Linked DNA regions of Caenorhabditis elegans. The protein of the gene in region 2 interacts with the protein of the main gene of each other region in a pairwise test. Each region holds a gene or a part of one and is shown on either strand. Other genes may lie near its edges.

Region 1 (3,755 bases), 1.9 Mb from region 2:
TGTTTTCTGAAAAAAAAAACTTCTAAATGCATGTTTCATCGTATTTATTTTAATATTGAATTAAGGCAGGGTTGGCTTAATTTATTGAGTAATGAAAAACTTTTTAAAACTTCAATGTTTCCAATTTTAGATCTCTGTTATATATGTTCTCTGACTATCAAAAATTAGTTTACTGAACTTAAATGTCTATGTGATTTAGAATTGACACTCTAAATTTCACCTGTTTGTATTCTTGCTCAAAACTCAAAAGGTCATTATGATTTTAGTCACTTAATTGGTCAACTTTTAATATGTAAGATTCTAATGTGTAGATTTTGTGAAAATAAACGAATAAATCAGGGATATATTGTTCTTGTTTCGGATTCTCAATTGCACTGTTTGCTGGACACTTTTTTACCGTTACGGTACAGTTAACACGTGAGCATTGACACATTTTCAAAGTGTTTAGTGTGCACTTTTTTTCAGAAACTTCCGTCGAAAATATCATTCGGGAGTTGGCCAGCTTCTCCCATACTGGTTCCCAATTGTATGCAGCATTCTATGGGGATTCATTTGCTTTTACTGTTATGGAGAAACTTCGGAGAGAAGATCATTTTTTAGGTGAGAATCATGGTTGACTGTGTTCTAAAATAAGTATTATTCAGGGCTAATCTACTTGAAAACTATCGTATTGATATCGACGATTATGCATATATGAGTGCAAATTTTTGGCCTTTAGATAAATTTGGAAATACAGCTCCTGATGTAAAATCATTCACAGGGGTCGTCGTGATACTGATCATTGTGGTAAATAATACGGATTAAGAAAAAAACAACTAAATTTTCCAGGGATCTTCATTTTGTAGCGTGCTCTTTTTTGGTATAAAATGCTATAGGTGTATATCTAAAAAATTGAAGAGCACTGGTATTATATCTGAAACTTCGAGAGCCCTTCAGAACCAGTTACTCCAGGCACTTGTCGTTCAAACGGCCATACCATTACTTCTCATGTATGTACCCGCCGGAGTATTTTTCACAGCTCCAATGCTGAATATCGAATTGAATTTGAAACATCCTATAATTGGGCATGCTGTTGCTTTGTATCCGGTTTTGGATCCGCTTCCAACTATTATTATTATCAAATCTTATCGACAGGGATGCATCGAGACTGTTAAGAAAATTATTTGTTGTGGACAGAACATGCCTATTGTAAGATGGATTAACCGACAGGAGAATAACGTTAATCCTATAAGTTACACGATGAGCAACTGAGTATTCGGCTTTTTTTTAAAGATTTCCTGACACGAGTCAGTATTGACAAGTATATAATCTTTTTAATTTCAAAATAGTATTTTTTAGTTCAGTTATTTTGAATTCTTGAATAAAATGCATGCATTGTTGTTATTGTTGGAATTAGTGCTTAGAATTTGCATTGTGGCACTACGCATAGCATCAAAATGTTTAATACTTTCATTTAAAGAATATTTAATGATTTCCTGTTACAAGAATTGAAATTTCTTCTCTAAATTAAATTAATTTGTCGATTTCCAAAAATACAACAAAAAAATAAATCAACGCGCACATAATGCGCCAACAGAGATTGCTGACGTACTTTTCGTGCATGACGCGTTTCTCGTGTTTCATTTCAAGCGTTCGGACACCAGCTTTTATTCTCTTTATTTTAATATTTTCTTGTAGTTTCGTCTGTAAATATTCGTTTAAATGAGCGATAAAAATATTAATACTGACAAAAAGCATCCTGCTGATAAATTAAAGGTTTGATTTTTTATTGTGAAATTGTGTTTTCAACGCTTTACTCAATTTTTGTTGCACTTGAGAATTTTTTGGGTTTCGTCGTCCTGAAAGTTTCTGCCGCCGCGAACGAACTTCACAATAATCTTCATTTCAAAGTACTAACAATCTATCTCATTTTATCTATGTCGTTAACTCAGAAACCATTAGACTTTGCATCAATATTTCAGGAAACTTTCGAAAAGCTGAACAACGAAGTAAAGTTACTTGGAATGATTCTCGGAGTAAAAAGTGAAAATAACCAGCAAGTGGTTCCGCCAACAACTGCAGAAGAGCCAGCTCAAGGTGAAGACAAAAATCAGTATCACGTAAGTGTTTCATAAGAATTTTAAGCAATAAATCTAATAATTTTCAGAAAGACGTGACTGCTGAAGATAAAAAAGCGAGAAAAGCAGCCAAGGCAGCTGAGAAAAAAGCGAGAGGTATCTTATTTATCTTTTTTTCCTAAAAAATAAATTAATTTTTTCAGCTGAAAAATCTGTAGCCAATAAAGCCGCCGCCGCCGCTGGGAGCACTCAAAATCAAGGGCAAAAGAAGGAAAAACCGCCAAAAGAGCATTCAGCAGTTCCATCTGAATCCACTACTAAACTTATCGAAGAAAATGCACAGCTCACGAAAACCACAGAACAGCTTGCAGCGAAAATGGAAACCTTGGTGATTGAAGATGTGAAGATTAATGGAAGTCTAAAGCCGGCGATAAAGAAATCTACTGGTGTTGAGAAAAATGTTCGACATGTTCATAACGTTATAATGCCTTCTGTGGTCACATTTGGTGAGTTTTTGATAATTTAATTTATTAGATTTGTTCTTTTGAAGATCTTCCAAAAAATCAAACGAAAACGTTGCCGTCTGCATCTGATTCTGACGAAGCAGTAGCATCAGAAATTGAATCAACAGCAATCGCCCAATTGGATGATGCGACGTCTTTTGTACACATTCATCCTGCATTCTTAACGCTTATGGCTAAAGCAGAATTGGAAAAAATTCCAGATGTTGAAACAGTTTGTATTCAATTTATTGCTGCTTTCAAAGAGGTAAAATATTATTTTTCAATCAAACTGTATAATTATTTTATTTTAGTTTCTGCGAGATTGGACAGTAGAACGAGAAAAGAATAATATCAATGCTTCCACATTCGGTCACGACCTCGATTTGGCTATTCGTCCACAACTTGCTCATATGACTCAAAATGGTCACTGGCCATTGCCATTTGCACTTGGGAATACAGTTCGATTGTTGAAAAGAACAATCAAACGACTTGAGGAAAGCACTAATATGAAGTGTGAAGAAGAATTACAAGTTTATCTGGAAGATACTTTGGCTATAAATTTCTGTCACGCGTACAAAGCCATCAGTCAACTGCTTGTTCGCAAAATTCAACAATTCAAAAAAGTTGTCGTGTTCGATTGGTGTCCTGTTGTGAATCATGTTCTTCTGGAAGCCAAACAACAAATTCCTGATATGCAATTGTCTGTTATTGATGCAAATTCCAATGGACGAGGTACGCGGCATGTGAAGAGTTTCGTAGATCAAGGATATAATGTCAAATACGTCACAATGAAAGGAGCTTCATGGGCGTCCCTGGCAGTGAGTTTTTTTTTAAAGCAGTATCGGTTCTAAGTGGTCTCAAATGCCAAAAAGAGCATTAAATTTGAAAAAAAAAGACAGACGATTTTTAAATTTTTGCTAATCTCCTAATTTGAATTGTCTCGCTTTTGTCTCTAAACTCCCCCAATAGAATCGAATTTTTCCAATTTCGACGAAACTTCTTTTTTTTTTTGCGGTTTTTTTCTGAATTTTAATAAGAAAACGATCATAAATATTAAAAAATATTTTTCGTATTTTTAAAGAACAAAAAATAACGTGTTTCTTGTAGAATCTCCGAAGGGTTAAATATTTTTTAATTACATTTTTTTTTGATATGAAAAATTTTTTTGGACATTTATTATATTTAAAATTTAGAT
Region 2 (3,755 bases):
CTCTCTTCCCATAGATTTTGCCAATTAGGAGGCTGCTCGCCGAGCACGAAATGTTTTCTTAGAGCAAAATTTGATATTTCAGGGAAAACAGTGATGCGTCTACTACTCAACAACGCTCGATACCTTTTTGATTATGATGAGCTAACTGGAGACTTTTCAATGGAAATCTCGCCAGTTCTTTGGTCTTCCGATAGTGGAGCATGGCAGTGTCACGTCACCGTTCGCCAGGAAAACGGGAAATCTCACACTCTAACCAGCCGTCGTCGTATCAAGGCAGGCGAGATCGGAGTACGGAAAGAGACTCGTCAAGAAATGAGAACGAAGACAAAGAAGGAGGACATTGCGTTGCTTTCTCGGGTTAGTAGTATAACTATTACGAGAAGATATTAGATTATAAGTGGAAGAGAAGCGGCGATGCGAATAAATGAAATGATCTGAGTTTCAGATAGAGGAAAAGCCGGAGAAGATGACGGAAAAGGAGGAAGAACCAAGAGTTGAGGAGAAAGAGAATGTAGAATTCGCTAATGTAGGGAAAGGTGGGCTATTCATAATCAATCCAAATTAATAGAGACGTATTGTTGAGAAGTGAAATCTCTAAAATGATCTTTTTAACTTATAGGAATAACTTCATTTAAGGTAATCTCAATGAGTTTAAATTTCGGAAATATCAAAAGGTTTTGTCAAGTTACGGTATTAAATATTCAGAATCATCTCCGATTCTTCTACAAAAACGAGGAGATAGATCGTCGGATCACTTGCATCACAACGTGGCATCATTTTCTCGAAACTCTGATGACAACGTCTATATGACACGGTAAGCTTAATATAGTGAATTTTTGAAGACCTGCTCCTTTTAGAAAATCCGAAGAAATTTCTACAAATGTGATTTTTGCTCGAACCGACGGAGCGCTTCGGCATCATCACAAGCCAATCAGACATCGAGAGTTGGAACGATTATTCGATGCTCAGATTGATTATGAACTCGGTGAGAAGGGTCTACACACAACTTGAGATTATTGTTAAATTTCAGATATGTCAACCGACGACATGTACTACCAGAATTTGATGAACACACGAGCGCGTGCGCGGAGTGCACATTATTACTACAATGAAGGAAACAGTAAACGAGCATATCTCACTTTTTGTTCGCTATTTTTTGCCACTTTTTACTTGTTTTTGTGAAAAACAATAAATAAATATGGGTAACTTACCTTTGCATTTTTCGAGAAAACATGAGATGATTCCACGATTACCACACTTGACACGTTGCGATTCAGAAGACGTTCGGCGAATTTTGTGGAATGAAAATTGAAAAGTGTGACATCAATATCCGATAGTGAGGTTGTCATTGACGATGATTTTTGAAGTGATCGCATCAGAATTGACAGTGCTGATTTGATGGGAGCATGTCCGTCGGATCGATTTTCTTCGATTACTTCGGAACGCTTCTTTTTATCGTCTGACGAGCTAGTTGATTCTTCGTTTTCTGCGAATTCTGTCTCGGAAGATGTTGCGGGGGGCATCGAGAAATTTGGAGAAGAATCGATGGGTAAATCCAGGGACGATTCTGGAGCAGAATTCCACGACCAGACATCGGGATCAAATACTTGAGAGCTCACGAGAGGTGCCTGAAAATCATTTATTTAAAATTTGGCAAAAAATTTAGATTTCAAACCTTTACATCTTGACATGTAGGATTTTTTCGAATTGTGGAAATGCATCGAATTCGATTCCATATTCGCATTTCTGAAAAACTAGATTATTATTTTATTTTGGAAGATTAGGCTATTATGAACAAAAAAGCAACTTTTGAAAATTGAAATTGAAAAAAAATGTTACAAAATGAAAAGCGAGAGTTTCCAAATCGTGTGCAGATTTCGAGAGACGCAGGCGAAAAAGGAAACGCAAATGCGCTCCACCGCAATTTTTTGTTTTTATTTTTTTCCCATTTCATTTTTTTGCGATGAATATTTAATATATTTGCAATTTTTCCTTTTCTTGTCTTTTTAATTAAATTTTTAATTTAACCAGATGAATTTTCAGGTAAATCTGTACATAAAACTAAGTATTCAACCCGAAAAACAGTGTGTCTAGCATAGTATCAATGCTTAGGTGCTAGTTTTGTACAAATTACGGTTTCCAAATGCCGTTTTCTAAGAAAAATGAACAAAATGGTGGAATCACAGAAGCAGCGCTTCAGGTAAACAAATAAGCAAGTTCAGAATTCTCATTAAAATCACATTTTGCAGGCTATAAAGCAAGAGCCTTTGGATCAAAGGGAACAGCTCCCTGAAGAAATCAAATTAAAACCCGGTGAAATGATTCTTGTTCCAGATGATCCAATGCTTCCTGGGTAATACAATTTTGTTTTAATTTAATCTTGAAACTAATTTTCCAGAAACTCTACAGCTTCTACTTCAAATTTCTCCAGAGAAGAACTTCCGGGTCCTAGTGATGTTGTGCGAACAATTTCTAAAAACGATCTCATGATGTCAAGGTTCATTGATTGAATAAATAAATTTTTTACACAAAATTTTTTTTTCAGAAAAACTGCTGCGCCATCTTCGTGTCCACCGAAGGAGCAGTCGATGAAGCCCAGTTTTCAGACTGAAAAAATTATGGGCGATTTTGTGAAGCAACGGAGGTATTTAAAACTAAAATTTTTAATTCAAACTGTTCTGAAGTGCTTTTTAAAATATAATTTTTCTTCTTTTTTCCAGAAAGCTGAACTTCGCGACGCCGTGGCCAAGAAAAGATCCAGGGCCTTCATCAAATTCTTGGCTCACAGAATATCGACCATCAGTACCTGGGAATCAAATTGAAAATTCAAATATAGAAAATTTAATGTTTGTTGAAAGCAAAGATGAAAGAAAAAAATTGTTTTTTTTTCAGCAAAAAAGTAGCTCCCTTCTACTCTCGCACCACTCACGAAAGTCCACATTCATCTCAAACTGTCGAAGATTTTAGGTCAGAAATTTTGAAAAATAATAGCTCAACAGTTAGAAAAAATGACCGACTGTGAAGAAAATTTAAAAATTTATATAAATTTTTTATGATTTTTTTCACACATATTTCCGATAAGAAAATTATAAAATGATGTTAAATTATGCATTTTTTCAGCGAATTTTTTCGGGTTATCAAATTTTCTTTACGGAAAAAATTGACAAACCGAGTTTCAAATCTAATATTGATGAAAAAACCAAGAAAAACCTATGAGTTTAGCTAGAAAACGAAAAAAAAACGAATTCAAAAATAATTAGATCTTTTTCAAATTTTTGCAAACTTGAAATAATCGTAAAATATATTATCATTAGGGTCCATTTTCTATGATTTGGAGCAAGGGTGGCGGCTTTTCGATTTTAGTTTTTTTTCGATATTTCGGTAAAAATTTGTTTTTCAATCAAAAAACTTTAAATTTTTGCCATTTTTTTTCTTTAAAACAAAATATTTATGTTTTTTCTCACGAACCTAATTAAAATTTAGTAAAAAATTGAATTTAGGGTCAATTTTCTGAAAAAAAATTCTTGTCCAGAATTTTTTTTTGGAAAATTAAAAAAATCGAAAAATGACGCCCTTGATTTAGAGAAAAATCTCAAATCGAATCTACTTCACCTTTAATTAATATTTTTTTTTTGCAGATCGGAATCTCTTGATTTATTGTATCCAATGAGAAGCCAGGAAGAACGTGCTAAAATAACCATGCAAATCAATAGAAGTTCACCAATTCTCGATAATGAACAACAAGTTCTTCCAAC

Evidence for each region.
Region 1: the proteins of C50E3.5 (region 2) and eif-2Bdelta interact in a two-hybrid assay, tested with the Caenorhabditis elegans proteins (one large-scale study listed by BioGRID).

What each region holds. Positions count from the first base shown.
Region 1 is NC_003283.11:9,512,216-9,515,970, forward strand, and holds the start of eif-2Bdelta (Translation initiation factor eIF2B subunit delta), read left to right. Parts: upstream 1-1,608; 5' UTR 1,609-1,701; coding exon 1,702-1,755; intron 1,756-1,961; coding exon 1,962-2,099; intron 2,100-2,146; coding exon 2,147-2,213; intron 2,214-2,260; coding exon 2,261-2,563; intron 2,564-2,607; coding exon 2,608-2,825; intron 2,826-2,871; coding exon 2,872-3,378; intron 3,379-3,755.
Region 2 is NC_003283.11:7,585,987-7,589,741, reverse strand, and holds the start of C50E3.5 (SpoU_methylase domain-containing protein), read right to left. Parts: upstream 1,747-3,755; 5' UTR 1,745-1,746; coding exon 1,676-1,744; intron 1,629-1,675; coding exon 1,212-1,628; exon of another isoform or gene 1,183-1,211; coding exon of another isoform or gene 1,031-1,182; intron 986-1,030; coding exon of another isoform or gene 858-985; intron 815-857; coding exon of another isoform or gene 706-814; intron 537-705; coding exon of another isoform or gene 446-536; intron 358-445; coding exon of another isoform or gene 83-357; intron 1-82. Other genes in the region: C50E3.6 (Ig-like domain-containing protein), read left to right, coding at 83-357, 446-536, 706-814, 858-985, 1,031-1,182; F19F10.11 (Lin-15A/B-like domain-containing protein), read left to right, coding at 2,144-2,200, 2,250-2,353, 2,399-2,497, 2,546-2,644, 2,721-2,846, 2,893-2,967, 3,639-3,755.